Linked DNA regions of Kluyveromyces lactis. The protein of the gene in region 2 interacts with the protein of the main gene of each other region in a pairwise test. Links are inferred from orthologs where the notes say so. Each region holds a gene or a part of one and is shown on either strand. Other genes may lie near its edges.

What was found.
Region 1: the proteins of KLLA0_E10275g (region 2) and BRO1 interact in binary tests that used the Saccharomyces cerevisiae proteins (3 or more experiments, as listed by UniProt). The link is inferred for Kluyveromyces lactis from reciprocal best matches to the Saccharomyces cerevisiae genes DOA4 and BRO1.

The regions. Positions count from the first base shown.
Region 1 is NC_006041.1:2,120,396-2,124,976, forward strand, and holds BRO1 (Bro1p), read right to left. Parts: upstream 2,804-4,581; coding exon 362-2,803; downstream 1-361. Other genes in the region: tRNA splicing endonuclease subunit SEN54, read left to right, coding at 1-323; MBA1 (Mba1p), read left to right, coding at 3,204-4,016; COPII coat assembly protein SEC16, read right to left, coding at 4,227-4,581. UniProt on the Saccharomyces cerevisiae protein: Class E VPS protein involved in concentration and sorting of cargo proteins of the multivesicular body (MVB) for incorporation into intralumenal vesicles. Fusion between endosomes and the vacuole will then target the cargo proteins to the vacuolar lumen.
Region 2 is NC_006041.1:905,017-909,615, forward strand, and holds KLLA0_E10275g (uncharacterized protein), read left to right. Parts: upstream 1-1,658; coding exon 1,659-4,049; downstream 4,050-4,599. Other genes in the region: FMP16 (Fmp16p), read left to right, coding at 764-1,036; DOS2 (Dos2p), read right to left, coding at 4,124-4,599. UniProt on the Saccharomyces cerevisiae protein: Ubiquitin thioesterase that acts at the late endosome/prevacuolar compartment to recover ubiquitin from ubiquitinated membrane proteins en route to the vacuole. Also removes ubiquitin from soluble proteins targeted to proteasomes.

The DNA.
Region 1 (4,581 bases), about 1.2 Mb from region 2:
ATCATAAATTCCCTTTTATTAATGATGTTGATATAGCCGAAGAAAAAGTGACAAAATCAAACAAGACCGGTAATGTTGATGCTCAGAGGCATTTAAAAAGCAGACGTAAGAATAATAAAGGAGATAAAACCTTGAGCTTATATGCTCGGAAAATGAAGAGAATTAAGGAAGGTTATCGGAGTTTCCTTTTAGCGGTGATGGATGGCGGCTTGGTGAGTATAGTCAAAATCACAGAAACGGATTTTGGATCTGAAAATATATGGTATGTTCCATCACCTAAAATAGTACAGTGGAAAAAACCAAACCAGAAGAAGAGAAATTAGCATTAGCATTAAATTCAAGATATATATAACCACAAACACTATTTACTGAATTTGGAATAGAGATTTTCATCAAAGACAGATGGATTGTTATAAAAGGATGTCGGTCCATTCTGCAGCTTTTGATCGCTGACAAGCCCACTGATACCGGTAGAAAGAGGTTTCGGTGGTAATTGAGGCGGACCTGGATTCACTCCGGTGTTATTAGTGTTAGCGAGATTTGCAGGACTTTGAGTTACCGAGTCATTAACATCATTGCATAAGTTTAAATTTGCGAAACTCTTTGTAAGTGTTGTAGATTGTGTAGATTTTTGTGGTAAGTTAGGTGGCAATGTGTTGGAATCTATCAAGTTTACAGATTGTCCAGGGGTGGATGCGTGGCTTAATTCTCTAGTCATCTTGAGCAAAGTGTCGTAAAAGTTTAAACCCTTCGGCAAATCGGTACTAAATATAACGAATTGGTTAAAAGCCTTTTCAACCTTATCGAAAAAGGTCTGTCTTTCTTTCACTGTATTTTCTTGTTCAGGGGTCTTATCTTGTACTCCAATAAGTTTGAAAACTTCGTCCAACTTGATTTTTATGTCGTTAATCAAATTGTTTTGTTTGAATATTGTTGCTTCAATCCTAGTACTCAACGGTTTGAATTTAGTAAGCTCTTCCTCGAAGATAACCCTCATTTCCTTTTTCGGCTTACCTGTCAGCAATATCAACTTTTGAGTTATATCATCATTGTTCAAGCTTTCTTTGAAATCTTTTAAATTTCTTGTACGTTCTTCTTTTAGTAGTCGTAGAATCTCCTGATTGTGTTTGATATTATGAAGGCGATCTAAGATCTGTTGGTTTTTTGAGTCATCGAGATCAAGTAAGCTTGGTTCATCATTCCTTATCTGAAATTTACTCATTATGCTCCACAATAACTGATGGTTTGCTAACAAATTAACTTCCTCCAAGCATGGATTGATAGATGCAAATATTTTGTCATCAGATTGAGATGCCTGCACTAAAGAGTTCTTGATTTTCAAGGCATTTTCCCTTTGATCAGGAGAGACAGAGGATAAAATTGTAAGAATCTCATTTCTTTTGTCAAGAATATTTTGCATTTGCGCTCTTACATCTTTGAAATTACTGTCTTGCACAACTTTTGACCAAGTAGTTATTTTTTGCTTCATTATTTCATATTGAGGGTCATCTGATGAACCATTTCCACCGTGTACATATCTTGATTCAAGGTCTTTGATAAGTTTCGGTAAGTCAGTAAATTCAATGAATGATTGATATTCCCAGTCTGCTGTATCCGTCTCCTCGACCTCCTTTCTTAACAATGAAGCTTTTTCCTCAGAATAGATACTCTCATTTTCATAGACTTCCATAGGCACTATACCTTTAAAGGCACCATTACAGAGATCTACAACCTGCTCTAGGTATACCTTGAGCTGTTCTTCCCAGGTCACTGGCTTTACGGCGTCCATGGTTTTGATGCTTTCTATGCTCACATCAGCTGGTATCAAATCGTTATAAATGAAATCGTTGTCCTTAATTAAACTTTTCAACTTCTCTTCTATTACTGCTTTTAACCCTGTTAGATCAATCTCATCCTTCACATATACCTTATAGAAACCAGCCTCTTTTATTTCATGTACCGCAAGCTTACCATAAGCTATCGCCTCTCCAATTTTCTTAGCTTCCTCTAGCACTCTCAAGTGATTGTATGTCGAAATAGCCCTATACAAGTGAACCTTTAGGGTAATTATATCCTTCCATTTGTCTTCTCCATAAGGCGTAGTCCCAAAAGTTGCTGTTGAACTATCCTCATAAAATTCTTGACATTTCTCATACAAATTTAAGGCAGTATGTGCTAGTTTGCTGATCAAAGATGCTCTTTTCGAAGCATCTGGTCCATTAATCAACGTCATGAGAAACATTTCCTGAGCTTCGGCGTGCAACAATGTGGAGAGAAAAGATGTATTTTCTGCTGCACAATCGATAGAAGGTGAATTCAAAAAGTTGTTCGACATATAATCGAAGCAAGCCATTGCCTTGCTCAAATAAGGAATCGCGCTCTTATAATTATCAGACATTTTTTTCTTAGCGATTTGAGACAATAGAACACCGATGTTGTACATGACAGATGATTTCTCAAAGACTACAGTATGTTGCTTGAATTTTTTTTCTGACAACCTAGAGTGATATTCTGCTTCATACCACGTGAAATCCATCTGTAATGAACCGCTGTGTGCGCCTAACCTTAGATAGATTTGCTCCAATATAGCGGCGTACTTATAGTTCTGATCTAATAATGATTCTGGCGCAAGATCTGAATTAGCAGTGGTCCTACACGAATCAATCTCTGCCGTCTTGTCGCCATCATAAAACACGGACCACTGGCTAGATCCGTATGACCTTTTCAAATAGGTTATTAACCCTTTTGTCCAACTAATACTCTCTGTATCCTTAATTTTAAGTGGAAGTAGAACTGTTTTCATTATGAAATGATCGATTTAAAAGAAATAAAGAGTAGGTACTTGCAAACTGTCTTGCAACGCACAAATGTTAACTCTGGTGTAGTGGTTCTATCTTTGATTGCCCAAGTGCTTTATCGTTCTTGGTTAAGTAGTTTGTTTGTAGATGGCTAGGTCGATTAATGAAGGTTAGCATCAAAAGTATCAAAACGTGCAAAACGATCTTTAGGCGAAGCTTTCGAAAAATTTCGATGCACATCTGATTTTAACAACAGCAGCAGATTAAAGGAATGAAGGTTGACATAAAGATGACAGCGTTTAGTAGTATCTGAACCATTCTTCGTAGTTGATCATTGGAATCATCCAGAGTGCTCTGAGACATCCCATTCTCTTTACCATTAACACCCCCCTGTGAATTAAACAAATGTTTCAACTAAGAGGAATAAGAACCGTTGGACTTTTAGGGAAGAGAGGTCGTTTCTTTAGCACCTCTAGAAGGCTTCTAGATTCCGATGGTGTTGTTAAAAAGCCTGCCCCATTCAATCCACGTCATATGGGGGTTGCAAACCAGGTATATATCGCACCTTCCAAGAAAAATATGCCTAATCCAATAACGTCCCCAGTGGCTTATTTCAATGTCTTGGTCAGGAAGATCTATACGTTAGGTATGAACACCATTCAAGTAGCCTTATTCCGTTATCAATCAGGTCTCAAGCCAAATTTTTTACTGTGGAAGAACAAAGCTATCGAAACATATGTTCAAGTTAATGAAGCTTTTGCTAAAAGAGAACTGGATACCATCAAACCTCAAGTGTCCATATGGGTTGACGAGGCTTTGACAGCGAGAGCCAAACAAATCCCATCGAACATTACCTTGGACTGGGAATTGATTAAATTCAATGAAGTTCCAAAGTTAGTTTCCACACAAGCCATGATGATTCCCGGTCGTCCAGTTGAATTAATTCAATTGATTTATAAGTTTGATACCAAACAAAGGTTAATTAAGTTCGACAAGAAGAAAAGTAAAACTGATAAACTGGACAGAGATGTTATTGACTATATCGCTTTCCTTTGCGATGCAAGCACAAATGATATTCTATTAACTGGTTCTGTTTTTGAGAGTGCACCAGACGCGAAATTGCCAAAAGATAGCGAAACTTCGAACCAAATTGTAATCGAAAGAATGAAAGTTAACGGAGACTTGTTCAGAGTTCAACCACCTGTTAAAAAAGACTGATAAAAGTATATCTTAGTAATTAAAAGGCCTCGCTTTACGATACTACCTTGTAAATACCAATGTAAAAGATGATCATTAATGACTATATTTATTTATTTTCAGTAAATTCATAGACGTCGAAGTACACTAGGTTCATTTAACGCTATATGCAATACACTTGAGAACAATTTCGAAATTCAATTATCGGAAGAACTAGTTAACAAAGTGATGTTATAAATTTTCCATAACATTAACGTAACCTCTAGTCGATTTCTTTTTCCTTCTCGTCGACGATGCGCTGCTAACGCCTCCAGTCAATGCCATTAAATCATCTAGACCGTTTGCTTTTGACCCAGATAAGTTGACATTAGTATTCGAAACAGGTGGTTTCGAAGATACGGGTGATTCCGACTTTGTCTCTGCATCATCGGAGAAGTCTTTCACAGGATCAAGCGGTTTGCCGGTCAAAGGATTGGTGGGCATAACTGCGTGTGCAGTCCGTAACGCTGGACCTCCCACAACTGAACCTTGACGGGGTTTTATTTCAGGCGTTTTTGACATCTTACGCTTTACGACAGGAGGTGGT
Region 2 (4,599 bases):
GATCAAGGTGGATTTCAACTCTCAGATGCAACTTTTACATGTAGTAGTTATCTGAGCTGATATACCTGGTAACTGCTGTATTCTAACAGAAAAGTATATATAAACGATACTAAATAAGATAATGTTCCTTCTATTGATCGTTCCGCCCTTGGTGCCGATGGACCTAGAAATTACAGCATCCGGTGATGTAAAGTCAAGGCTTGCCTTAAAAACGTTACATTCGGGCTTACCTCGGGATTACCTTTTTATATCTATATATTCGTTCTCAAACTTCAATACCAGTGGAAGCGTTAGCATAGGAGAAGCGACATACACCACACTATATGTGGAGGCCAGAAAATCATCTTCTAGATCCAGATGCTCCCTAGTACTGCCCCGTGCTTACCCTAAATGCACAACACTCTTTTGCTCGCAATCTCTCGTTTTCTAGCATAGTCTTTCCGCCATCTTAGCTAATAAGGTAATAGCAATCTTTGTAAGTAATAAAAGAAAGAAAAAACCGGGATGCTGCTAACCTGTCACAGGATTAGTGTGCAAACGTACTATTTCTTTGGTTGAGTCCCTAGTCTGATACGTCAGAGAGCGTACCCTTTATTTTGACGATCCCGAGCCTCTTCCTGGATGATTATATAAATGGAGCCTGTGAAGGTTCCTGTTCCCTTAATCGGCTTCTCATTTACCCCATATATAGAGTAAGTTTCTGTTTGACATATCCCATCTTATAGAAATAAAGAAGAATCATTTTCACACAGCATCACACACCATGATCCAATTAACCAGAGTTATAAAGTCTTCCCCAGTTGCTACCCAATGTTTGAGAAGAAACTTCTCAGCTTCTGTTATGGCAGGCACTACACAGAAGTCAAAGGATCCAGATCAAAGGATGTTCGATAGAAATAAGAAGAAGCTAGAAGAGTTGGAACACGATTCTAAAACCGACGATCCAAACTACAAACGTCCTAATCTAAAATCCTTGAAGCAGAAGGGTAAGGATGCCCCAATCAAACAGCATAGAGCAGATGACGGTGTCTATTAAGGCTAAACGAAATGCACCCTAGGATATTCAAAAAATACATGCGACAACTACAATCTTCAAAACGCCTACAGGTCCATGAGACCTGGCCTTATTTATGTAAGAACAAGAGCAATGACTAGATAATCATATATAATGGTACTAATATCATATATGTTTGAACAAACTGACAACAGTATGTCTTCCTCGAAGCATGTCTATGCCGTTCCGGACGTTGAAGACGTCGGACAAAATATGTGGGCATAGTCACGTGGAATCACGTGACTAACCTTTTCTTCATTTTCCCACCCATTGCAACCTCGATTTAGATCCACATAAACAATCTTGACAAATTGGATACATACTTACAAAGGGTTCAGTACTGTTAATGAGAAAGTTCCTGTCATTATAGACCAAAGGTTTGTTTCTGGTTTACTTGGTATTGTTGATACATTTGGTATTTGTGTGCTTATTCGCATCGAGAGAACTTTTTATGTTTGATTCCGATTACTGAGTGAGGCGGACTGTATTTCTATTAACAAGAGCATCAACGATAACGGATCAGATTCAGTTTTTGTGATTTCAAAAGAAACCTCGAAGGTTTTAGTTATTGAACTGGGATTTTACACTCTTTTCACCAACCACGATGCTCGAACATAACTCCAAGTTGTTTTGTAAATCACTTTCGCAGCTTTCAGCTGTAGCGTCGAAGGTTGTGGCTGAGGATGTTGAAGGTGAACATTTCAAGCAGCTCTTGGCGAAATGTATAGACACGTTGTCAATATACAAGAGCGAGCTGCGAAAACTTTCATGTGCTTCCAAGGACACACCACCATCGCAGATATATCAGTTGAATGAGACATTGTACGTTTACTATAAGATTGTGTCACAGATCGCATCTCAGGTTATTCCGGGGTTGGCCGAGTTTCAACAGATCAAGATGAATAGTAAGAAGGATTCAAAAGATAAAGAATTGCTGGAAATTTATAGTAGATTGGTTTCTGCACTAGCGAATGATAAACAGATAGGGGAAGTGAAGAGGTTTATCAAAAATCACAGTGAGGAAGCTGCTCATGACGGTACTCAACACTCTTATGAGAATGGGGAATTTGTGTCAATTTCGCAGTTGCATTCACTAATACGGCATGATAACGACTCATCTGGCATTTTACTCGTTGATATTAGACCAAGGATGGATTTTAACGATGGTCATATAAAGCATAACAACGTTATTTGCATCGAACCGATCTCGTTCAAAGAATCATACACGGATTCTGATATCTTGCGTAAGTCATTAATCACTGCATCGGATAGAGAAGTTGATCTTTTCAAGAATCGTGATAAGTTTCGACTTATTGTGCTTTACACAGACACTGATGAGCATACGAAATATTACTGGCAACAGTTAGAAGTTTTACAAGACATTCTTTGCAATAGATCATTTGATAAACCTTTACATCATACTAAGGTAATAGTTTTGCAAAATGGCGTAAACGCTTGGAAGGAGAAGTACCCCATGGAGTTGAAAAAAATAATGGAATCGGCAATATCTGATATTCGTACGAAGCCCGTGGAACACAATTTTCACCCTATGGCATTATCAAACAATAATAATATTGAAAAAGCCAATTCACCGAGTCACTCTCAAACTACAAGTTTCACACATTATCCTGATGCTCCATTCCTTACTAATGGAGCTAGTATTAAAACTGCTGGATTGGTGCCTAATCAGTTGTTGCCATCTACCAGTAATTTAACGAAAGCGTTACAGCAGAACGATGAAGGAAATTCTGAACCTTACAAACTTCAACCAAATGGAATCAAAAACCACAGACAGGAAAGTAATAATCATGCGAACGGTACAAATTGCATTGTGAGTTCAAACGGGAATAACTCTGTTGCTAAATCTGGTCATCCTAGTATCAATCTGGATTTCGCGATTGGTTTAGTGAATTTAGGAAATTCATGCTATTTGAACTGCATAATTCAATGTCTTCTCGGTTGTCATGAGCTATCATACATATTTCTGACCAATTCATATAGGAAACATGTCAATGTGAACAGTCGATTAGGTTCCAAGGGTTTATTAGCGAATTATTTTTCACAACTAGTACAGAAGATGTATCAACAGGGGAAACTACAGGCTTATAACAATACTAATATGGAGTCAACGGCTGTGCATCCAACTCAATTCAAATTGGCGTGTGGCTCGATAAATTCACTGTTTAAAGGCAAGCAGCAGCAGGACTGTCAAGAATTTTGCCAATTTCTCTTAGATGGTTTACATGAAGATTTGAACCAATGTGGTACCAATCCTCCTCTTAAGGAATTAAGTCCAGAAGCTGAGAAAATGAGAGAAACCATGCCGATGAGAATTGCTTCAGCCATCGAATGGGAGAGATATTTGACGACAGATTTCAGTGTCATCGTGGATTTGTTCCAAGGCCAATATGCATCGCAGCTCAGATGTAAAATTTGTGCACATACGTCCACAACTTATCAAGCATTCTCTGTTCTTTCAGTACCAGTTCCCAGAGCAAGATCTTGCACAATTTACGACTGTTTCAAAGAGTTTACCAAGCTAGAAACTTTGGAAAAAGACGAATTGTGGTATTGTCCTTATTGTAAACAGAGACAACCATCAACCAAACAAATCATCATCACACGTTTGCCTAATAATTTAATCATTCACTTAAAAAGATTTGATAATATGATGAATAAAAACAACGTTTTTGTCAATTATCCAAATGAACTAGACTTAACTGGCTTTTGGATCGACGATTACAATGGAGAAATGCCAAAGGATAACGGGGTTTCGTTGCCATTGCGTGGTCAAAAGCCACCCTTCAACTATAGACTCTTTGCTGTGGCGTCACATTCTGGCACGCTCTATGGTGGCCATTACACCTCCTTTGTGGACAAAGGCAGAGTTGGTTGGTGTTCTTTTGATGATGTCAGTTGGAGAAAAATTAGAAGGAAGGACGAATATATCACACCTAATGCATATGTGCTGTTTTACCGTAGAGTTAACATGTAAGTATAATAATTAATTAAGTAGGGAAATACAAAATGTAATCAGTGTTCGAAGAAACACCAGATCGGTTCCAATAACTACTCCCAATCATCATCTTCTTCGTCGTCATTTTCCTCTTGCTTGATAGCTTTTGATTCAGTTTTAGCAGAAGAAATAGTCTCCTTACCAGTGTTGGAGTCTTGTTTAGCCTTTGCAGTTTTAGAAGGAATAATTTCTTCTTCTGAATCCTCTTCCTCATCATCCCATCCTATTGCTTGTTCTTTACCTAGATCTTCCTTGGCACTTAATAAGTCACGCTTCTTTGAGGCCAAATTTAGAATCTCCGCCTTCTTAGTGAAGTAAATATTCCAAAATGTTGCATCATCAAGAGGTGCTGGGACAACGTCTTCGTGTAAGCTTTTCAAGTCCGAATCCTTGTTTAATAACTCTTGAATCTCTTCAAAATGTTCCTTTATTACAAAATCCTTCGGTAAGCTTGCTGCATTATATTTCAAATATATTGACTTGTCTATGGCAAGTTGTTTCAACTTTGTGTCTGTAATTGAGCTAAAAG